3 linked regions of the Mus musculus genome follow. The protein of the gene in region 1 interacts with the protein of each later gene in a pairwise test. Links are inferred from orthologs where the notes say so. Each region holds a gene or a part of one and is shown in the gene's direction. Other genes may lie near its edges.

The links. The genes of interacting proteins can lie anywhere in the genome.
Region 2: the proteins of Lzts2 (region 1) and Fkbp6 interact in binary tests that used the Homo sapiens proteins (3 or more experiments, as listed by UniProt). The two-hybrid records come from large-scale screens. The link is inferred for Mus musculus from reciprocal best matches to the Homo sapiens genes LZTS2 and FKBP6.
Region 3: the proteins of Lzts2 (region 1) and Thap7 interact in binary tests that used the Homo sapiens proteins (3 or more experiments, as listed by UniProt). The two-hybrid records come from large-scale screens. The link is inferred for Mus musculus from reciprocal best matches to the Homo sapiens genes LZTS2 and THAP7.

What each region holds. Positions count from the first base shown.
Region 1 is NC_000085.6:45,014,446-45,022,440, forward strand, and holds the start of Lzts2 (leucine zipper putative tumor suppressor 2), read left to right. Parts: upstream 1-3,689; 5' UTR 3,690-3,785; intron 3,786-6,941; 5' UTR 6,942-6,983; coding exon 6,984-7,391; intron 7,392-7,392; exon of another isoform or gene 7,393-7,825; intron 7,826-7,995. UniProt on the Homo sapiens protein: Negative regulator of katanin-mediated microtubule severing and release from the centrosome. Required for central spindle formation and the completion of cytokinesis.
Region 2 is NC_000071.6:135,344,712-135,352,702, reverse strand, and holds the start of Fkbp6 (inactive peptidyl-prolyl cis-trans isomerase FKBP6), read left to right. Parts: upstream 1-2,711; coding exon 2,712-2,768; intron 2,769-2,789; exon of another isoform or gene 2,790-2,827; coding exon of another isoform or gene 2,828-2,884; intron 2,885-2,967; coding exon 2,968-3,085; intron 3,086-4,736; coding exon 4,737-4,826; intron 4,827-6,410; coding exon 6,411-6,613; intron 6,614-7,934; coding exon 7,935-7,991. UniProt on the Homo sapiens protein: Has an essential role in spermatogenesis. It is required to repress transposable elements and prevent their mobilization, which is essential for the germline integrity.
Region 3 is NC_000082.6:17,525,773-17,533,537, reverse strand, and holds Thap7 (THAP domain-containing protein 7), read left to right. Parts: upstream 1-2,485; 5' UTR 2,486-2,513; exon of another isoform or gene 2,514-2,560; intron 2,561-2,680; coding exon 2,681-2,760; intron 2,761-3,152; coding exon 3,153-3,308; intron 3,309-4,462; coding exon 4,463-4,603; intron 4,604-4,797; coding exon 4,798-5,350; 3' UTR 5,351-5,556; downstream 5,557-7,765. Other genes in the region: Lztr1 (leucine-zipper-like transcriptional regulator 1), read right to left, coding at 7,745-7,765. UniProt on the Homo sapiens protein: Chromatin-associated, histone tail-binding protein that represses transcription via recruitment of HDAC3 and nuclear hormone receptor corepressors.

The sequences.
Region 1 (7,995 bases):
GAGTCTGAGACCAAACTCACCTTGGTCTCCTGAACCAACTACTCAGGCAGTGGGCCTGGCTCAGAGAGCTGTAAACTTAAGCCTTTCCACAATATACCTGGTAAGTCAGGGAGGAAAGGAGCCTTTGGTACGTCCCTGAAATACAGGCCAACTTCCTGTTTGCTCCTGTGGGTGGGACTTTATGGATCTAAGGGAAGCCTAGCTGTGCCCTATGGGGGGCCAGGACTAGCAGCTTTCTCACCTGGGTTGCTAACTACTCTAGGGAAAGAGGCGGTACTAGGTCTGCCAGGACAGCCCCCAGCCAGCCCCAGCCCTAATGAGTGTGTGTGTGTGTGTGTGTGTGTGTGTGTGTGTGTGTGTGTGTGTGTGTGTTTTATGAAACTCGATACTTCTTTGTCTGCTTCCTAGGGATTTTCCCTCTTCTGGTTGTGAGCAGAGTGGACCGGACTGAGTTCCCCACAGAGCAGGAGAGAGGCAATCTCTACCGTGCCTTAGTTAAGGCTGCCAGGTAGCTAAAACGTCAGTTACGCCTGCCCTCCCCTTAGGTCAAAAGTCAGTATGCTGTGCAGTCAAAAGGCCAGAGAGACAGCCTTAGGCCACCACCAGGCTACTTTTGGACTGGGTACTGGGTCAGGCTACTTTTGGGTTGGGTACTAGGTTAGCTATTTGGAGGTGCGGGGCAGACCACTCCCCTCTGGGGGGGGGCGCGGCTTCAGCCGCCCCGCCCCACTCTTCCAGGGCTGGCCTGGCGGGAGCGGGGAGCCGGGAGCGCTGAGCCCGGAGCCGGCTGGAGAAGTAGAGTTCTATCACGGCGAAGAAATAGGCACGCTGGAGCGGGAGCCGGGCCAAAAAGGGAGCAGCGGCGCAGGTGACGCTGGGTGAGTGGTGGGGCGGACGGGGTGCAGGAGCTCCGGCTTCCCGCAGGTCCTCACTTTGGAGAGAACTTTACGCGTCTTGGGATGAGGAAAGGGTCCGCACTCTGTGGACCGCAGGCGAAACAACAGCAAAGGAGTAAGAAAACTTACACACACGCGCCGACACACACACACACACACACACACACACACACACACACACACACCCATGCATTCACTTAGGACGCGAACACACGTGTGCTCAGGAAAGGACAAACACAGCGAGGTACCCTAGCTGTCCCAATGGCAGTACCACTAGCTCGCGCGACTCCCCACCCCACCCTGCGACCTGGACGCTGAGTTTTTCTGCCCAAGGCTGAGTGAGAGAAAGGGGACGCCCTGAGACTATCGGCGGGGGCGGGCGGGGTTTGTCGCACCAGGCGGTTCCTGCTTCCCAGCCGGCTGCCTGCAGGTGAAGACCAAGACGTAAACAGGCGTTGAGCACGTGATTGCTTCGCAGCCGGGTGGGTAGTGCTCCCCAACTCCTGTCTAGGCAGGGACACCCCTCTCATCTACCTCTCCGCTGGTCCTAGCATGTTTGTTTCGCCCTGTATGGAGCTTTATTCCACACTTCACCTGGAATGATGATAAATCCTCTCACCCAGAATGGGAGCTCAACGCCCCTGGGGGCCTGGGTGACCCGGAGACCTGGAGAGGGTTGGGGCTAACTTGGGCTCCTTGCCTTGGAGCTCACTAGCACGTTCTTGGAACCCGTATCCTTGAAAGGTATCCGAAAGGACCTTGATGGCCCCAGACAGCTGCCCCGGTCTCATACAGCTCTGTCTTTACGTCCTCTTCCTACCGCCACCTCCACCCCTTGCAGGACTGGGCACAAATAGCCCACTCAAGCGAGAAGAGTCTCCCCTCACCCCTCCTCAAAGGGAACGCACCAAGAGTAAATATATCCTTAAACCTAAGGGGAGTGTGTCTCCTCTAGGTGGAAGAAAGATCAGAGTCCCCTCTCTGAAAGTGAAAGAGGGGGCTGCAGCCTCTTCCCCCTCCGGCCCCCATCCTTCATTCCCCCCACCCCTCACCCGGCCACATGCTGAGCCCAGCTGCTGCCTGAGCTTCTGGGCTGGAGGCCAGAAAGGGGAGGAGGTTCTCGGTGCCCCAGGAGGCAGGGATCAGGGCAAGGCCAGAGGAGGGGGTTTCTGTTAGGGAGAGGGGTTCGGTATGTTCTTGTGAAGCTGAGGGGCTGGAGTGAGCCTGAGGGTGGCTAGGCTGTGTTTTCCTTTCCAGGGAAAAAGAAAGAAAAACAACCCTTTCCATGGAGCTAAAAATAGAGCTGAGAGCCGGCCAGGCTGTGGCCTGGAAGGGGGGGGGGTGCTTCTTCCTGGGGCTGAGCCCAGCTCTGGCAGACCTTGGGGGGGGGGGCGGGGGGGATCGGGGAAGGGAGGATGGCCTTGCCAGAACATGTGAGGTCGGCTGACCTGAGCAGGTCACAGAGACCCCTCAGGGAAAGTGGGTAGTTTGTGAATATGATGTAAGAAGTTTCCAGAGTGGCTGAATCCGGCTGTCATTGCGTGGAAGAGGGTTGGGAGGCTGAGTGTATTTAAAGAATGTGACTGGATGCAAAGGACTGTTGTGCACTCTCCCGTGCACGAAACACCAAGCCTTCTGTGAGTTGGCCTGAAGGATTATGGAATGAAGATCTATGGAGCCACGTGATGGATGAGACTGACTGTGGCTGCCCGAGACTGAATGTGGGAAAGGTCGTGTGGGTGTTAAGACTGTTGTTTTCGAGAGGGTAAAAATATTTGTGACCCCAAGAGAGACTTTGGGATGTCTGCTGCGGAGCCAGTGTAGGTTTGAGCTGTTCGTTCTTGAGATTATTGGGGGTCAGGTATCCCTCCCACCCCCTTTGAGCAGCGACCCTTCTCATAGCAAATGACCCCCGAGGTTCGGCTAGGGAGGCTGGAGCCATGCCAGGGACAAGCCTGGGCTCGCGGCCCGAGGGTGCTGTGCTGGAAAGGGAGTGGGATTGGTGGGGGTCTTGGGGGGGGGGGGCTGGTAAGTTGCTGGAAAGGGCCACCAGGTGGCGCCGATTTGGAAAATCCAAGCGTGTGACCTCCAGCCTGCTGGGGGTGGGACAGACAGCGACCGAGCCAGTCCCTCAACTTGTGCCCAGGAGCCGGCAACTGGAGAGGGATGGCTGACCCCCTCGGCCTCCCCATGGACCGGGAAGCTGGAGACTGAGGAGGGAAGCTTCTCCTAGAGGAGCGGAGGGGGAGGGGCGGGGCTGGCGCCGCGCCTTGGCTCTTTGTGCTGGAACAATGACCAGCTGCCGCTGGCCCTTGGGCTCCGGCAGGGATAGGCGATGGTGACCCGGCTCGATGAGTCTCGAGCCGGCCGAGCCTCCTAACACACACACACACACACACACACACACACACACACACACACACACACAGAGTCGCTAGGCCACTCTGGGAGGAATCCCGAGCGCTACCGAGCACACACACACACCACACTTAACACACACACACACACACACACACACACACACACACACACACACACACACACACACACACACACAACACACACACACACACACAGTTGCTAGGCCACTCTGGGAGGAATCCCGAGCGCCGCCGAGCAGCCCCCGCGTGCGCCCTGGCTGGCACGCGTGACGTGGGTTACTTGCGCGTGTCCGCTCCCCGGGGCGGGAACGCCCCTCGGACCCCTCCCCCCATCAGTGCGCACCGCCCACTCGGGCCGGGCGGGGGCCGGTCAGGGCCGGGGGCGCCGGCTGGGCGGAGGCGGGGCCGAGCCGGGCAGCTCCGAGTGGCCGCGCGCGGGCTGGAGCGGGCGGCGCGCCTGTGGAGTGCTGGGGCGGCCCGGGGCTGAGCATGGAGCAGCGCGGCGGAGGTGAGGGGTCCAGGGCTGAGGGTGCCCCAACTTCTAAGCGATGCGGTCCGGTGGGGAGGTGGCATTCCATAGACGCCCCCAGTTTATGGAAGGAGCGGACTATTGTGGGTGGCGGGGGGGGGGGTGGGGGGACACGACGACTCTGGGCTTTCAGTCTCGGAATGGCAACTCGTGATCCCAGACTGGATCCTGCTTGACTGGTCTCTGGAGTTTGAGTGTGTGTGTTTGGGGGGACTTTCCCCAACTCTCCAACCCCAGCCCTGAGGTCAGAGAGTTGGGACGTGGGCCAGACTCATCTCAGGCCCTGGCGCGGCCCCAGACTCTAGAACCCCCAGCTTACTTGCTGGGGTGGGGGCGCAGGGGTCTGTGTACCATAGTGATAGGTCAGGGAGTGCTGGGGAGAACCAGGGCTTTCTTTTTCCCACAGCTACAAACGCATTTCTCAAAATGGAGCCGCTTGCCCCTCCTTCTCTCTTGGGCCTCAAAAGCGGGAGCCAGGCTGGCTAGGCCTGGCTTTCCTGACGCCTGGCCCTCAGAGCTCAGCTCTGTGGCTCCTCTGGCTTTAGGGGTCCTTGCCTGTGTAGCTTCAGCGACCCTAACTCATGGGTCTGCCTCTGGCTCCTCGTGTCTGAGCCTCTTGGCCTTTGTCTCTTCTGTCTTCTGGCTCCTGTCTCTCTGAGTGTCTACCCCGGCCCTTGCCCTTCCTTCTGGGTCTCACTTTCTGTGTCCTCTGGAGTAGGGACAGGAGTGCCAGCCCCTTCTCACTCCTCACTATACTGTGGAGCAGTCTCCATCCCTAGGCTGGACCTTTTGGGGGCGATCTCAGTACCTACCCTACAGAGAAGTTGCTACACTTCAGTTCCTACCCTAGCTCTTAGCAACTCCTTCCTCACGCTGGACTCCTGTGAGTCTCTGGTCTTAACACTTAGAGGCACTTAGTGGAGAACAATATACAAAGATAAGATGGGGCAAGGGCGTCAGGCACTGTGATCTCACCTTTCCTCAAACTCTTAAGTTAAAAAAAAGTTTTAGGGAGGAGGAGTCCCCATTCACATTGGTGGCTTTGAATGTCACCCAGGTCCTCATGCACTCCCAGAACGCTCACTTATACAGATTGGTCCTGGGGAGCTTTCACACACTTTTCTTGTGTACAGTAGGAATCCATGTAACTGTCCCAGGAGAACTGCAGGCGTCCTGTAGAGATTTGTGTGTCTCAGTCTATGAGAGACTTGACTCAATGGACCCAAAGAAAGGAGGATTTTCCCTAGAATTTCATGCTAGGAGAAGAAGCAGAATGGCTTACTGAGGATAGGTGACTGGAAGATTTAGTGGTATTTACACAAACCTCACATATGTGTGCACAAACTGGTATATCTATCCAAACATTTCTCTTTTTGCCATATAGTGACATCCAGAGCCCACAGATTCATTTGTTTTATACACATTAATAACTGTGTGGTGTGCTTTCTAAGTTACGAAACTCATAACTTTGTAAAACATAAGAATTCACACATACAGCCTGGTGGTGGTAACACACACGCCTTTAATTCCAGCCCTCAGAAGGCAGTAAGAGGTGGATCTCTGAATTCAAGGCCAGCCTGCTCTACAGAGCAAGTTCCAGGGCAGCCAGGGCTACACAGAGAAACCCTGTCTTGGAAAAACAAACAAACAAAAAACAAACAAAACAGCAAAAAAGAATTCACAGTGGGCAGTGGTGGCGCACACCTTTAATCCCAGCACTTTAGAAGCAGAGGCAGAAGCAGGCCGATTTCTGATTTCAGGGCCAGCCTGGTCTACAGAGTGAGTTCCAGGATAGCCAGGGCTATACAGAGAGAACCTGTCTCGAAAAACCAAAACCAAAACCAAAAACAAAAAAAACCACACATACAGCTCGGCATATTTGCACAAGGTTAGAATCCCAGCTCTCTGAGGCAGGAGGATCTGAGTTTGAGGCCCACCTATGGTACATAGCACAACCCTGTTTGGTTTTGTCATGTCCCCTACATCACACACACACATATACACACATGTATGAACGTACTGACATCTGTCTAAACCCACATGGACTGCACAGTTTCATGCATATTCTCACAGATACTGTTCATTTTTTTATGACCCTGTCTATGTACTCACACCCACAAGTAAATGTACACACACACACACATACACACACACACACATACACACACACACACATTCTTCTTTCTCATGGATCCTCAGTCCACTTTTTGGCCCCTTTGCTCTGTGATGACTTCAGCAGATGCCTAAGTCTTGGTCATCGGCAGCCTTGGGACTGGGCGGGAGTTCCGTTCTGGGTGCAGGCTTGCTGTTCTTTCCAGGAAGGAGTAAGACTAGGGGAGGCGGAGCCAGCCATCTTACTTGAGCTCCTACTAGACGTGGTAATGGGCTCCTGCTCAAATTCCATAGGGGTTATTCTGAAGATCAACTAAAGCAGGAAGGTTTATAAAGGTTGGCAGTGGGACAGGGCCTGGGTAGGCTCCCTTAGTCCCGAGTGATGGCAGAAGCTAAGAGTGACATGGAAACAAGCACAGCCTGCATCAACCTCTGGGAGGTAGGAGAGACCCCAGAGGGCACCTGTGGATTCCTAAGACCTGTAAGGTTTCCTGTTTGGCCAGCTCCACCCTCGAAGCCGCCTGAGTGTCTGGGAGAAACTGAGGCCCAGTGGTGGGAGGCTGGACAGCGCCTGGCTTTGACTCTTTGTTCCCTAATTACCATCTGAGTTGCTGATTGCATCCCTGACGTGTCCTCTGCCCAAACAGCCCAGTAATGAGGCCACCTGTCCCAGGAGAGTAGGGACCTGTACTGGGAGCTAGAGTTAGGGATCTCTGCCCAATCTGAGTCTTTGGCTATATAGGGGATACAGGTTGGGGCTTAAACTAGGTCTTCTCTGCCAAGGAACCCTGTATAAATGTTTAGATCTCCCATTCCTTCCTCTCTGTGTGGTCAAGTTATTCCTTAGCCTTGTTCCAGACTAGAGTTGAGGCCCAGAGGAACTCGAGGTTCATGCCAGTTCTTGGAAGGGAAGCCTTTTTCCTAAATGGGGAATGTTCTATCTGGAGGAGGGGGTCAGGAGAAGGCTTATAGGGGGAGGATCCTCAAGGTGCAGGGACTCTGACACCAATGCCCTGCTCACAGGTTGCCCCGGAGGCCCCTGGCCAGACCTGAGCCTCTGCCACCATGGCCATTGTGCACACTCTGCCAGTGCCTCTGGAGCCCGCACGTGAGACAGCCACTGCCCCCAAAACTCCAGCAATGGGCAGCGTGAGCAGTCTTATCTCAGGCCGGCCCTGCCCCGGGGGACCTGCTCCTCAACGACATCATGGTGTCCCTGGGCCCACCTTCTTCCGCCAGCAGGATGGGCTGCTACCGGGTGGCTACGAGGCACAGGAACCGCTCTGCCCGGCTGTGCCACCGAGGAAGGCTGTCCCAGGCAATAGCTTTACCTATGTCAATGAGGACTTCCGGACAGAGTCTCCTCCCAGCCCCAGCAGTGATGTTGAAGATCCCCGGGAACATCAGGCACACAATGCCCACCTCCGTGGGCCCCCACCAAAGCTCATCCCTGTCTCTGGAAAGCTGGAGAAGGTAACGGGCAGCCCTTTTGGGAGGACCTGGGTGGGAAGCCAGGAGCCCCTCAGGGAAGCTAGAATTTGGAAGCGTCAGTAGAGCAAAGAATATGGGTTCTGTCTTACCACTCAGACAGTGAAATAACCTGTCTGAGCCCCGTTTTCTGTGTCTTTATGGTTACGGTTAGAGGCTAATCTTTGTAGGTTCCTGTTAGAATTAATACATAGTAAAGTACCCAGCAACCTCAAATGAACAATATAGTAATTGTCTGAGTTAGTTTTATTTTGTTTTTTGAGACATGGTTTCTCTCTGTAGCCTTGGCTGTCCTGGAACTCACTGTGCAGACCAGGCTGGCCTCGAACTCACAGAGATCTGCTTGCTTCTGCCTCCCGAGGGCTAGGATTAAAGGCATTTGTTACCACCTCCAGCCTAGTTGCTTCAATTATTCAGAGGTGTGTGTATGTGTCCTTGGGCAAAACCTTTAACTTTACTATGGGCCTCTACATCCTTGTTTTTAATATGAGAAGAGGATCATGTTTTGTTTGTGTAGCTATTATGATTAAAAAATGAGCATTTTGAATTACTTAATGTAAGTAGGCAATTAGAAACTTGCTGCTAGAGG
Region 2 (7,991 bases), on another chromosome or scaffold:
TGTTAGAAGGTTGAGAACTGCTATTCTAGAGATTCCAGAGCCCCAGTTCCAGGCAGGGATTCAACTTCAAGGAAGATTCTCTCTTGAGACCCAGAAATCTGTAATATACACCTTCAAGCCAGGCACTTTTTGTTTATTTTTTTGTTTTCAAGACAAGGAATCTCTGTGTAGCCCTGGCTGTCCTGGAACTCTCTCTGTAGACCACGCCGGTCTCCAACTCACAGAGCTCTGCCTGCCTCTTCCTGTCAAGTGCTGGGATTAAAGGCAGGGAGCACCAGGAACCTGCCGCCTAAGCAATCTTAAAGCCAGATTGTTACTTTTTCTTTTTGGGATAGGGGTCCTGTGGACGGTGGTGGCCTTGAACCCTGTATGTAGCTGGGATTGCAGGTGTGCTCCACTATACACAATTTAAATAGTTCTGGGTATAGACCCCTTGGGGGCCTTAAGCATGCTTGGTAAGTCAGTATCTACTCAGTAGCTACATCCTGAACAACAAGAGCAATGTCCCTTGTCCCAGGGTAACACTGTCCTCACAGAGTCTGAGATAAAAAGAGCCTTGGGTGTTCATCTTCCAAAACAGAAACAAAGTCTCCACTGAGCAAGATAGCAGCAACTCGACCCACATCCCACTACCGCATTACCTGATTTCTTGTGGTCCAGCAGGCCTCCCACTAGGGCCTCAAACAAGCAGCTCTCTCTGGTCACTGAAGCCTTTCCTTCCTCCCAGAATGGGGAAGCTGACACGGAGACCCGGGGCAGCCAGCTGGACATAGATGCCACTGCCTGGTGTCTGCCCCTTCTCCCATCCCCTCCCCTTTCCCGGCAACACCTGTGTCCCAAGGTCATCCAGAATCAGGTGGGAAGTGGGTCACACACCACGAGACTGAGGCGGCGGCCTCTGTTGGGTTCCCTTACGATAACCTACACAGGCAGATTGTGTGGCCTTGCCCAGGATGGGGGAAGGGCTGAGACCGTGCGCCAGCTCGGAGCACAAGCAGGTATAAGCTTTGTATGACGAGCAGCTTTCTGAATACCTCAACCCGGAAGTTTAAAGGTATTTTATTTATTTAGATTTTTCTCGTTTTCTAAGTTTGGGTCACACACACAGCAATGATAAAATACGCTGCTTACTCTGATTTTTCTCATTCGAGGTGTAACATGTGAACAGATCTTAACCACGCAGTGTAACTTTTATCTTATTTGTGTACACTCATGCTCAAGGTCAAGTTGTAAACTGGACAGAGTGTTGAACACCTATAATCCCAGAACTTGGGAAATGCTGACCGGAGGCCAGAAGTCAAGTTCATTCTCAGGCTATGTAGCACACCCAAGGCCATCCTGGACCTCATGAGACTATCTCAAAAGCAAAACAAAACAAAAAAATCTAGTTGTAGAGAATTTGCAGAGTCAGTCCTTTGCCTCCTGCCAGAACAGGCTCTGCAATCAACACAGTTACCGTTCTGGTTCGTATCCTCCTACCAGCTGCCCGTATGTATGTATGTATGTATGTATGTATGTATGTATTTTAACATTTATTGTGTGTGCTTGCAGGTGCAGGCCACCTTATGCATGAGAAACCAGGGGATAAAACTTGCAATAGTCAGTTCTCCCCTTCCACCTGTAGGTCTTGGCTGTCAAGGTTGGTGGCAGACACCTTACCCACTTGGCTATCTTGATTGCCATTGTTTGTTTCTTGCCTTGCTGGGAGATAGAACCAGGGTCTTGAGCATGCTACAAAAGCGCTCTACTCCTGAATTATCTCCCTATCTTATGGGGTCTGTTTGTGAATTTGATGTGAACAGTACTCTTTGACTCTTTCTGTCAATGTTACTAAAATATGAACTTTTAACATGTGAAATCTTGGAGCCAGCTGTGGTAGCAAACATCTTGATTCCCAGCACTTGGGAGACAGAGGCAGGTGGATCTCTGTGACTTCTCCAGGCCAGCGTATTCTGCCTAGCTAGTTCCTGGCCCACAAGACTACATAGTGAGATCCTCTTTGTGAGAGAGAGAGAGAGAGAGAGAGAGAGAGAGAGAGAGAGAGAAAGAAGAAAGAAAGAAAGAAAGAAAGAAAGAAAGAAAGAAAGAAAGAAAGAAGTAAAGTAAGGAGGGAGGGAAGGAGGGAGGAAGGAAGAAAGAAAGAGAAAGAAAGAAAAGAAAAAGGAAGGAAGGAAGGAAAGGTGAACTCTCGGGTTGGAGACATAGCTCATCAGCAGAAAGCTTGCCTGGACTCCTCGGTAAAGCAACTGGATGCCTAGTTCGGAGGAGGGCCACGTACTTGTATCCTCCTGGGGCTGTGACTCAGTCGTAGATCGCTTGCCTAATAATGACCACTTTTATCGCCAGGCCACATACAAATAAGCTATTGAGCATCTAAGACAACCGCGAGGCAAAAAGCATGCGTTGGTTTCAGTCACTAATTTTGTAGCAATGTGTTTTGCTTTTGTGACAGAACGCCAAGCATAACATTGAGACCAAAGGAAAGGCTTTTTTTGTGCCGCATAAAATGCTTTGTCCGAAGCCCTCCCAGGGCTCCATCCTGCTTTGCGCCTGCCATCACGTGTGCAGCGCGTGCTGGGAGACCCTCAGCGCATGCTCGCATGCTCGCTGCGTCTATCGATCACGTGCCGTTTCTCTCGTGCACAGCCCGCGTGGTGCCTGACTTCCGGGGTCGTTTCCGGCAAGGCCTTTGGAGACAGTTGTGCGGCAAGATGAGCGTCTTCTCGCGCCTCAGGAACGGAATCCCACCGTCGCGAGACGACTGCCAGGTACGGAGCGGGGTTCGGGAGCCTGGGAGCACGAGCTGGGGAGCACCTGGAGCGCGGCCATGGGTGGCAGCACCCGAGACCCGGGAGCCCTGGAAGGGGCTGGCATCCTAGGCCAGGTGAGGGCGGGACCATGGCGCTGGCCTGAGGCGATGAGGCAAGCGGCTTCCACCTCTGAGGCCTGTGGCTTTCTCTCCACCAGTCTCCCTATGAGCGACTAAGTCAACGCATGTTGGACATCTCCGGGGACCGAGGTGTGCTGAAGGACATCATCCGAGAGGGCACTGGCGATACCGTGACACCTGACGCTTCTGTGCTGGGTATGGAGGCCGCTGCTGGCTGCTCTTTTGTCCTTGGGTTAAGTTTGTTTTTGTTTTTTTTGTTTTGTTTTGTTTTGTTTTGTTTTTTAAGACAGGGTCTCATGCAACCCAGACTGGCCTCTTAACTGCCGCTCTAGCTGAGGTTGACCCTGAACTTCTGATCTTCCTGTTTCTGCCTTTCAAGTCCTGGGCTAATGGTTGGCCACCACTACGTTTTATAGTGTGCTAGGGACAGAGCCCTGGGAATGTACACCAACCCTCTTGGCAGGGTCAAGGTGTTGTTTCCAGGTACCAGGGATTGAACCTGGAACCTGAGTACCTTCAGTGAGTGATTGCATATTTACAAAATACGGCGTTTTATGGGACTGGCTGTGTTTCCCCTGAACAAAGAGGGTTTGGTTTTGAGAAGCAATCTCATGTCTGCAGGCCTCAGACCGTATGTAACCAAAGATGACTTAGAACTTTTGTGTCACCTCCCAAATGCTTAGACTACTCGTGTCTGCTAACATGCCTGGTTCTGAGGTGCTGGGGATGGAACCCTGGGCCTTCTACATGCTACTCAGACATTCTACCAACTGGGCCACATCCTCTGCCTGTTTTGTTGTTGTTTATCTGGTTTTGTTTGTGGTTTTGATTTTCTTGTTTGTTTTGTTTTGGGGGTGGAGTGGTGGGGTTGTTGTTGTTTTGTTGTTGTTGTTTGTTTTTCAAGACTGGTTTCTCTGTGAAACTCCCTTTGAAGACCAGGCTGGCCTCGAATTCACAGAGAGCTGCCTGCTTTACCTCCCAAATTGCTGGCATATGCCTTTGTTTTAATTTTTTCTTTAAAGATTTGTTTGTTTGTTTGTTTGTTTGTTTATTACATCTAAGTACACTGTAGCTGTCTTCAGGCACACCAGAAGAGGGCATCAGATCTCATTACAGATGGTTGTGAGCCACCATGTGGTTGCTGGGAATTGAGCTCAGGACCTCTGGAAGAGCAGTCAGTGCTCTTTAACTGCTGAGCCATCTCTCCAGTCCTGTTTTAATTTTTTGTTTGTTTTTGAGATACGGTTCACTGTGTAGCCCTAGGTAGCCTGCAACTCTGTATGTAGTAGACCAGGTCAGGCTCTCCTCAAACCTCAGAGATCCACCTGCCTCTGCCTCCGTAGTGCTGTGCATCACCAAGTCTAGCCTTTTTTTTTTTTTTTTTTTTAAGACAGGGTCTCCCTGTATCTCAAGCCAGTCTCAAATTGACCCTCTTCCTGCCTTAGCTTCTTTAGAGCTGGGGTGACAAGTGGCTGCCATTTTTGCCTGCCTTGAGCTTTTCAGAAACAAAGCAGGCTTGGTTCATCAGGAGAGCTTTTGAACCTCAGAGCTGAAAGTCAGATACTCAGAACCCCACAAGAAGCTCTCCTGCGAGTCGGGGTGCCAGGCAGCGTAAACTCATTTAATTCTCCCCCACCCCCGGACAGCGTCTCTGACTAGACAGGTGTCTAGCACTAGCATAGATTTGCAGTGTAGCTGAGGCTACTCCTGTCTTCACTTTCCCAAGTGCTGGGATTACAGACGTCCTCTACCACGAACAGCCAATCGTAGTGTTCCCTGTTGATGGCTCTGGCGGTGCCTCAGGCATGGTTTCCTCACATTCGTGCTGTCTTTTCCTCTGCCTTAGTGAAATATTCTGGATACCTGGAGCACATGGACAAGCCTTTCGATTCTAATTGCTTTAGGAAAACACCTCGGCTGATGAAACTTGGAGAAGGTAAAGTCACCTGGGTCATTTGGGCAAAAGAGGCCATGTTTTAAGACTGTCACAGCATCCAGGAAACAGGTTCTTAGAGTTTGTAGCTGAGCTTGGGTTTCAGGGAAGCACCCAGGTTGTCTTGTCACTTTTCTTCTTGAGACATTATTTTTGGCTGGTAGCCTACCTGGCAAGTTTATCTTGGCATCTAAGTTGCCCATTGGGTGCTATTAAAATTTTTATGTATATGTGTATGTGTGCCCAGTGCCTGCAGAGGCCAGAAGAGGGTGGCAAGCCGCCTGGAACTGTAATTAGGCAGTTGTTGCCACCATGAAGCAGTAAGCACTCTTTAACTGCTGAACCATCTCTCCAGGTGCAGGGCAGCTTTTAAGACGGAATCGCACTGTGAAGCCCCCACCTACCATCAACTCAGAAGTCTCCTAGCTCAGCTCTGCCACGATAGGGTGATAAACATGAGCCCCCACACCTGGATCCACTGGACAAGATGCTTTGTGCATTTATGAAATAACATAGTAAACGCTCCCTTCCTAGCGTGTGTAGTGAGATAAGACAGCACAGGGTCTGGGAGAAGGAGTCAGTAAGTGCTTGCCACTCGAGCACGAGGACCTGCTTTCCATCCCATAGAGCCCGTGGGTTTGAGTTTGTTGGTTGGTTTTTGTTTTATAAGGTCAGCTATAGTAGCATATGCTTATAATCTCAGTGCAGCAGGGCAGAAACAGACGGCTCCCTCGGGTTCTCTGGCCAGCCAGCCTCCTTAGCAGACTTCAGGACAATGAGAGATTCTGTCTCAAAAAACAAGGCAGATGCCCCTGAGGAATGACAGTTGAGACTGTCTTCTAGCATCTGCATGCATGTACACACGCATCAACACATACACGCACACATCTCAAGAGGCCACACTCAGATGATGAGATCCACATCTTATGGACCTTGCTAGGGCTGGGGAGCTTGGTCTCTGGTCCAGAAATGGACGATAGAATTAAATGAAGCCTGGAGCTCTGAGGGGTAACCTGGGTCTGCTTGGTGACATTATAGTTGCCCTCCTTTTGGCAGGGTCACAGGCATTCTGTGAAAAAGAAGGCTTGAGATGAGAGCCCTGAGGTTTGAATAAGATTTCAGTTGTGGGACTTGAGAAATGGCTCAGAAGTTAAGAGCATTGGCTGCTTTTCCAGGAGATGGGGTTCAATGTACAACACCCATATGGTAGCTTACAGTCGTCTATAACTCCAGTTTCTGGGGATCTGATGCCCTCTTCTGGCCTCTGTGGGCAGTGATTAAATGAATTTGGCACACATACAAACAGCAAAACATACATAGAAGTACACATAAAACTAAAGGAAAAAAAATCTTAAATTTCAGTTACAGTAGATAGACCACAGGCATTAATGGCAGAGAACTTAAAAGAAAGAGCAGACTATGCAACAGAGATGGAGCCTGCAGAAGATGGCGTCTGGGGAAAGTAGGACAGCAGGAGCAAGACTGAGCACTGAGTTGGCACCCAACCCAATGGGCTTGGGTTGGCATAGGGAAACTGGTACCTGTGAACGGACGGACTGAATGCTGAGTGAACCTCCTTTCTTCCAGATATTACACTCTGGGGCATGGAGCTGGGCCTTCTGAGCATGCGCAAAGGGGAACTGGCCAGGTTCCTGTTCAAGCCAGCCTATGCTTACGGCACCCTGGGGTGCCCTCCCCTCATCCCGCCAAATGCCACCGTCCTGTTTGAGATCGAGCTGATTGACTTCCTGGATTCTGCTGAGTCAGACAAGTTCTGTGCACTCTCAGCTGTAAGTTCCAGGCCTTGGACTTTCCAGCACTTTCTAAATGGAGGGATGGGATCATATTTGGGTGGCTTTGTTAGAACCCCCACCCTGACCTCCACCCAGCCTACTGCACAGTGATATCTGCTTTCCTCTATCTGAGGTAATGTAAGGTATAGATTAGCTCTGTATTAGCTGTTTGCTATTTAATTATCTTTTGCTTACTTCTCACTCAAGTTGGAGGCTACTTTTCTGGAAGTTAGACACTGGTAGCTTAATAATGAAGGTTATTGAGGCTTGGGAATGTGATAGAGTTCTTGCCTAGAACCCCCCACTAAAGGCTGGGGCTATGTATGTCAAGTAGTAGAGTGATAATATTAACAAGCCCTCAGTTTTATTCCCAGGACCATAAAAACAAGTTAGAGAATTGGTTCCTCCTTGAGAATTGAAAAAGGCTTTGATGTCGGGCAGTGCTGTTACACGCTTTAAATCCCAGCACTCGGGAGGCAGAGGCGGGAAATTGTGAGTTCAAGGCCAGGCTGGTTTACATAGTTCCAGGACATCCAGAGCTACACAGAAAAACTTTCTTGAAAAAAGGAAGGAAGGAAGGGAGCTAGGGAGGGAGGAAGGAAGAAAAGAAAAAGAGAGAGAGAGAGAGAAGGCTTTTATTAACTTGACAGGCTAGCCATGACATGAGAAGCAAGCTGAGACAGCCTCAGGGAAAGTGGGATTAGAGCTCCAGCTCTCATACCCTGAGTCTTGGCTTTCCTGTGTGACCTCTAGCTCCCTTGCCCATAGAAACAGAGCTTGTAATCCCATCAGCGACCATGGATATGTAGTGGTAGCTGTGCAGCCATTGCAGGCTTTGCTCCTCCACAAGCTTTGGTCTTACACACTAAACTGTCAGGGCCACAAGTGAATGTCTCACCATTGTCAAATCTTTCCACAGTGTACATGGTCCTGCACTTACCTGGGGTTCTGATTTCCAGGCTCAGGGTAGGGTTCTATGGAAGTTCTAATATGAAGCCGGGATATCAACATGAGCATGTAGAATCTCCTTGGGCCCTAAGCCAACTAGGACCTTCCAAATTTTTGTTGAGTAATTGGTCTGGGCTTGGCAGTCTCCTTCAGTTTCTGTGGGTCCTTCTGCTTCTCGGGGGATCTGAGAAAGACCACAGCAGCCACTGACATCTGGGCTGCTCTGTCGATGGGGCCATTATAGTATGCATCTGTGTGGCCTGGCCTCTGCACACACAAGCAGTAAGTTCATGGCCCAAGAGAGAAATGTTGATGACTGTGCCACTGGGGCTTCTGGCTCCATGTCGTTCCTCTTGTCTCTGCTCTTCAGGAGCAGCAAGAACAGTTTCCACTCCAGAAAGTCCTCAAAGTAGCAGCAACTGAGAGG
Region 3 (7,765 bases), on another chromosome or scaffold:
TTACCAGTTGGAACATCTTCTGGGTATATGCCCAGGAGAGGTATTGCTGGATCTTCTGGTAGTATAATGTCCAATTTCCTGAGGAACCGCCAGACTGACTTCCAGAGTGATTGTACAAGCTTGCAATCCCACCAGCAATGGAGAAGTGTTCCTCTTTCTCCACATCCTCGCCAGCATCTGCTGTCACCTGAATTTTTTATTTTAGCCATTCTGGCTGGTGTGTAGCTTGATGAATTTAATAAATCCATGTCTGTAACGTGGCCTATTACCTTTTTCTCACTCACTAAGTCCGAGCGACTCCGTGTCAACTTGATTCTTCCAACAGAGTCCATCTCTGCCCAGAAGTCCCGCCTCTCCTCTCCTGCCTCAGCTACTGGCCGTCAGATCTTTGTTAAACCAATCAAAAGGTGAGGGAGGTGTATGTTTACAAAATACTGAAGCAGGTGATGATCCATAAAAATAACCAATACCAAAGTCCAGCCAGCACTCAACTCGTCACCGGTACAGAAATCAACATTTGAATAGTACAAAGACAACCTTTACACTGTGGGAAAAAAAAGATTACCCCGACAGACTGTGGTCTGCTAATCTAATACACTTGGAAGGTCCCTGCCCCCGCTGCAACACTTACCTCTCCTCCCTCTGACTTGAGCTACGTCAGTTAGCCCCACTATTTCAATAAAATACTCACCACTGCCTGAGACCCTGCTCCCCAGCTCCTCTGCATCCTGAGACCACCAGTGATCAACGCCCAGTCGGGAGCAAAGGACCCACATCTGGGGCTCAAACAGGGATGCTCGGAAGATGGCAAGGATTTCCTTCTGAGGGACATCAGCATCCCAACCTGAGGATCCTCAGCTGGTTCTTCCTTCTTCCTTTACCTTCAATTTGAGGCATCGCAAGGGACTGACTACGGTGAAGGGGCAACTTCTTTTGGTCGGGGCTAGCCTTGAACAGGCTGAATCAGACCTTGTTTTACCACAGTTGCCTAGCCCACCTAGGGTGGAGTCTTCTAACCTAGGTGAAGTCTATTGTCTGGCCACATCTTGTGGAGGAGCGCCCTGAAGACTGCCCCTAGGTGGAGCTCACTGCCCTTGAACAGGCCATTGAGTATATTAGAAAATGACCTGCCACATCCACACACACCCTCTTTATGCCCCACTGATGCCTTATGCCCCCTCCTGCCTCCCTCACACCCTAAGAACACTCATAGAACTCTTGAAGGCTCTTTGTCTTCTACCTCCCACACCCACCAACTATGTGAAATTAGAGATTCGTCCAAACTTCAGCACAAATAAAGTAACACCTGGGTTTTCCATGTTTTCAACTCACTTACTCTCTGCCCCTACACTGGTATCCCTACTGGGCCAATGAATTAAAAGAGGTTAGACAATCAAAAGGAGGATGGTACTCATGCACCCTGGGCCAAATCCATTCTTCTGAGTCTTGTGCAGCTCTAAGTACACTACTGAGCCAGCACATCGGTTGGTCCTTCTTGCCCCCTATTCCTTCAATGGGAGGCTTTATATAGGGATGAATGCCTCCAACAGATCAGGAAAAATCAAAACCAACTAAATAGGGGCTTCGATGACCTTTTCAGCCAAGACAACTCCTCTACAGGAGCATAACAGGCTACCCAACCTCGCCGGTACTTAGATCAAGTATGCCTTTGTGCCCTTCAGGCCTGGAGTCCCATAACCTCCCCTTCTGCATCCCAAGATTGTAATTGTTCACCTCTCTTCCCCCAGCAGAAACCCAAGGAACCCATTTCTGACTTTGTTCCTGCTACAAAAGTGAGCCTAGAATGTAAAACGCCTGATCCTGTGGTCAGAGAAATCCCCCTTCAAAGCATCACTGGGGAAACCGTGCTCTCGGAACACACCGGCTAGCGTCTCAGGGTTTGAAAAATGAACATTCCGATAACTGGACAGTTGCTACTTAGTATATTGGGACGGCCTCCCATAAGGTCACTATCTTCACCCAGGCCTTTACAAGGCCATTAAAAGAAAATGTTCTAAATGTGTCGTTAACATTTTATTTTGTGCATGTATATGGGGATCAAAGGACAATTACTGGACGTTGGTTCTCTCCTTCCAGCAGGTTGCGTCCTGGGGATCAAATTCAATCTTCAGGGTTGGTAGCAAGTGCTGAGCCACCAGTCCGTGGCCGAGTTCTTTCAGTAAAGAGCCCAGGTTTTTCTTGGTGGTGGATCTTTTTCAACCAGAGTGTGCGCGTACGTTGTTCAGGGAGCAGTACAGACCACACCCAGCTGCTTCGTCCAAACGACAGACGCTCAAACAAAACAGGGACCCGAAACTACAGATGCAGAAACCTCAACTCGGGAGCGACGATCGCCATCCCTCACTCCCAACATCCGGTGGCCCGCCCCGCCAGGATCTCTTCCGGTCCCGCCCCTTGGGGGCCCGCGCCACGGGCGACGGAGTATCTCTGCTCCCAACTTCCGCGTCGATCCACCCATCGCGAGATTTTGGCGGCGCAGCAATGGCAAGACCGTGAGTACCGCTGACGGGAGTCTATAGAACGAGCTAGGACAAGACTGGTACGGGGTCGGGCCTCGGGGAGCCGACCGGCTCGGGCCCTCTGGAGGGAGTGACAGTTGGGCGTGAAGACAGTCCTCCCCCGACTGCCGCCCACCACCCAGATCCCGCCCCTTCCCCAGATGCCGCGACACTGCTCCGCCGCCGGCTGCTGCACACGGGATACGCGCGAGACTCGCAACCGCGGCATCTCCTTCCACAGGTCAGCGCGCGTGCGTAGTGGCACGCGAGGGCTCATAGCGCAGGCGCCGGTGTTGCCGCACCTTAGGCCTCGCAGGAGACGGCGCTTTCCCGAGGTCGATGTGAGGCTTGAACTTGTGAGCGGGAGGGTGACAGGGAAGGGCGCATAGTCTCGAGTCCAGCCGGAAAAAGGACTGGACGCTTACCTGGCTTGGATTTACAGCTCCGACTCATTCCTGCTAGATGATGCTGAGCCGGCCCCTTTCTTTCTCTCGTTCTCAGTTTCTCCTTTCCCCCAGCGGGTGGTAATCTGAAAGGGTCGCGGGGAGGTCTGCCATTCTTGCTTGGGGAGCTTGGGCATCCTGAACGCAGGACTGTAGACAGTCTGGTGCTCACGGTTTTGTGGCTCTGCAGACTTCCCAAGAAAGACAACCCCAGGCGCGGCTTGTGGCTGGCCAACTGTCAGCGGCTGGACCCCAGCGGCCAGGGCCTGTGGGATCCGACCTCTGAGTACATCTACTTCTGCTCCAAACACTTCGAGGAAAACTGCTTTGAGCTGGTGGGAATCAGGTGGGTCTTTCTGCCAGCTAACACCAGGACAGGTTGTGAGGCATCAGAGCAGTGGGTCAAACGAGGCAGCTCTTTGCCCTGGTGGAGTCCATGCACATCCGCTGGCATGCTCAGAGACAAGCAGACCAGTTGTCAAGCGTGCCAAGCCTCTTTCCAGTTTTGTACAGTTAAAGCATGATCCCAGGATCACTGTGCCAGTGACATTAGAGAAAATCAGGCTTTCCAGGCTGGGGAAATAGCCCCCTTTGCTAAAGACGTGGTATGCAAGCATTAGGACCTGATTTCAGATTCAAGGACCCAAATAAAAAGCCACATGTGATTGCTTGTTCCTTTAATCCCAGTCCTGGAGAAGACAAAACAAAAAGGGGATCCCAAGGACTTATGGAAAAGCTAGTCTAGATGAGTTGTTGAGCCCTGTGTTGAGTTGAGAAACTTGTCTTTAAAAAAATAAGGTGGAAGGGCTGGAGAGATGGCTTAACCATTTTAGAGCATTACAGAGGACTGGGGTTCAATCTACCTCTGAGGGCACGGGTACACATATGTACATGCAGGCAAAATATTCATACACATCAGTAGAGCTGGCTCAGAGGTTACGAGCACTCACTGGCTGTTCTTCCAGAAGACCTGTGTTCATTTCCCACCACCCACATAATGGCTTATAGCAGTCTGGAACTGGAACTGGCTCACTCCAGTTCCAAGTGATCCTTTATCCTTTTCTAACCTCTGTAGGTACTAGGCACGCATTCGGTGAACAGTCATAGGCAAACACTTATACACATAAAAATAAAAAAGGTTTTTAAGGAAAAAAATCTTTAAAAACAAAGGTAGAGAATGATTAAGGAAGTCACCTGAGGTTAGCCGCTCCATGCAAAAGAAAAACAGCTTTTTCATAGGATGGTTAGCACCTAGTTCTTCCAGCCGTCCACCTATCCCTGCTGGTGGGTTCTCCATTCACCTTAACCCGGGAAGCTCATTCACAGGGAAGATGAGTTTGATTTTACCACACGTGGCATTCTTGAGATTGCTACTGGCAGTGTGCCTTGGGGCCTTTCTCATCCCTAGAGGTCCTACGCCTCTGCAGGGCCTTATGTGGGGAATCAGGGGACGTGGCAGCGTTCTTTTCTCCAGCTCATCTGGGCTGCTTTTCCCCACAGTGGGTATCACAGGCTGAAGGAGGGGGCAGTCCCCACCATATTTGAGTCTTTCTCCAAGTTGCGTCGAACAGCCAAGACCAAGGGGCATGGTTATCCACCTGGCCTGCCTGACGTCAGCCGGCTCCGGCGATGCAGGAAGCGGTATGTGCTGCAGGACCGGGGGATGCCCCACCCTCACCCCAGGGCTGAGGGGCTGGACCTAGGGTGAATGCCAGCATCTTCACTGAACTATTTTGCTATCTAGACCCAGTAAAGGGGGCTCAGATGTTAGGGAGACTAAATGGGCTAATGAGAGGAGCCTGGCATGCCTTAGTTTCTTTCTGTTTCCCCTCCAGCTGCTCCGAAAGACAAGGACCCACAACTCCCTTTTCTCCACCTCCTCGTGCCGATATCATCTGCTTCCCTGTGGAAGAAGCCTCAGCACCTGCCACTCTGCCCGCATCCCCAGCTGTGAGGCTGGACCCTGGCCTTAACAGCCCCTTCTCAGATCTCCTGGGCCCTCTAGGTGCTCAGGCGGATGAAGCGGGCTGTAGCACACAGCCCTCACCAGAGCAGCACCCCTCCCCTCTTGAGCCACAGCCTGCCTCCCCATCTGCATACATGTTACGGCTGCCACCTCCTGCTGGAGCCTACATCCAGAATGAGCACAGCTACCAAGTGGGGAGCGCCTTGCTCTGGAAGAGGCGAGCTGAAGCAGCTCTTGATGCTCTGGACAAGACCCAGCGCCAGCTGCAGGCCTGCAAGCGGCGGGAGCAGCGGCTTAGGCTGCGACTGACCAAGCTGCAGCAGGAACGGGCACGGGAGAAGCGAGCACAGGCAGATGCCCGCCAGACTCTGAAGGACCATGTACAGGACTTTGCTATGCAGTTGAGCAGCAGTATGGCCTGAGAGAGGGACTACATGCCCAGGCTCTGGCTTCTTTTTCTCAGAGACACTTGACCAGAACTGCATCCACTGGGCTGGCCAAATGTTACAATAAAGTGGATGCTAGAAAGAGACTGCTGTTTGGCTTGGCTGGAGGTGCCCGGCTCCTCCCCAGACCATGGCCAAAACCCTAGAGAGCTCAGATCCTGGCATGCCACCTCTTGACCCTGGTTAAATCTCTGTTTGCAGTCCCTCTGCCTGTATAGTTACTCATGTAAGAAAGTCAGCTCCTCAGAGGTTAGCTCTGCCCCCTCCCCCTCTTTGAGTCAGGGTTTCATATAGTCCAGGCTGGTGTGTTTGTAGCCATACAGATAGGTGCCATCATGACCAGTGTCAGACTTGGAATGTATGTAGAGGCACAAGCTTCAGCCCATGGGCCTCATGTTTGGCCAGTCTCTTGCATTGACCACACTCCTGGCCCCTTTGCCCTCAAAACCAACATAGGGCACCCTACACTTGTCAGGCTGTAAGGCTGTACCTAGAGAAATGCTTTTGGATATAGTGTTTGAGGTCCTGGCCTAGATACTATATACCTTGGGAATGTAGGCTTCTCGCTTCAGCCGTGTCCATGGTAAACATCAAGTGTACACCCTTTCCCTGCTGTTCCTTAGCTCAAGCACAGTTGAGGTGATGGCTGTAGTTGGTACACAAGGTTCTCAGAGTTTTCTTTTTTGGAGCTCTGGGTGTATATTTATTTGTGTCCTGTGTAGGAGGGATGGTTGAAGGGCCAGTTACAGTGGGCATCATGAAGATTTCACATGGTCCTTCAGAATAGGTTTGGACGAGGCCACCTTTGGGAAGTGGCTCTGACAACGCAGCTGACTCATAACAAGCCTGCCTGGCTGGCCCCTTCCACTCAGCTTAGCTGCTACTTGAGTCAGCTACCAGCCTCAGCTTGTGCCAGGTACCTCCCTGTATTCCCAGCGCATCTTGCAACCAGACCACTTCTTGTCTGTCATTTTGGGACACTGCCACCCTGGGCACCTTTCTACCCAGAGTCCCACAGCATGGGGTGAATGAAGCACAGAAGAGAAATGTGTTCTAAGGCCAGGAAGAGCCAAACAGAAAATGAGTTCTGGTTTCCTAGGAAATAAGACAGAGTAGGTTCCTGAACTCAAAAAACAGGTCCACTGTGCTGTATTGGGATATAGGCTTTCGTGGCCTGCTGTCAGATAACAAGGATGGATACCTTGGACAGTCTAGGGCTCTGTGGAAATAGGTATGCAGTTTCTTCTCCCTTGTGACTGACACAATGTATTGACATGGGCAGAACAGGGAAAATGTACTAAACCCACATCTATCCTGAGCTGTATAACTGTCACATGCTACAGGAGGGCAGACCAGTGATGGCAACCATGTCAGGCAAGTGTGTAAGCAGCATTGCCACACCTGTAATAGAGGCATGGCCATGACAGAATACAGACATAGGAACATCTCCACTCTTTCTCTGGCCCAAATATGCACACTGTGTGGCCCAGAACATGCAGCCTCTGGGAGGCTGAGCTATGCTTACTGCCCTATGGGCTGGGAGCAAAACCTTCCAAAGTTCATGTCTAAGATCTGACCACTGTTACTAATCCCCATTCCTAACTTGTGGGTAAGGAGTGGGGTATAGCTAGAATAACTTGCTGAGCCTTCATCCCCTGACAGTAGGATTCTATGCTGGTACTACAAAGCCACACTCCCATCATCTTTCTACCACCAGGTGCTGTCCCTGAGCCCTGGTCTTGGGACTGCCGGTACAAAGTCCAACAGTCCTCTGAGAGGCGAGTAAGGATGATTATAGGAAAGACGGAAAAGAAGACTCGGAGACAAAGGTTAGAAATTGAGAGGGCTGTTCAGTTAGTGCCGCTGCAGCTCTGAGTTTAATAATAACTCTCATAGGCTTTATATTCTTTACAGTATCTCGGGAAACAAAGTCACAAGCCAGCAGAGACAATGGCTGACATACATTGGATATCTGTACCTATCTGGAGGCCTCCTTGTCCCTTACTCCAAGATTAACCGAACATTCAGCCCCTCACCTTGAGCTTCAAGTGTATCCCCTCTTACCGTTTCATGAGTCAGCAGGCTAGAAAATCTGCCAGCAGACCCTGGCCTGACTTGACTCGGCCTGATAGGCTTTCACAGAAGCAAGCAAAATGGCTCCTGACAGAGAGGTGCCAGCTAGAAAGGAGTTTGCTTTATTTGCTATTCCCTGTGGGGCCTGTGTCCTCAATGAAGTGCAGGCTTTGGGGGGTCCCTGTACACCTCAGCCCCCTGTAGAAGCTGAGAACCCTTGACCCCACAGGTGTGATCACTCTGCAGGTGGAGATGTGGCCAATTGGTTGGGTGTCTTCACTCTCCAAACAGAGATCCTCAGATGTCAGCACCCAGCTC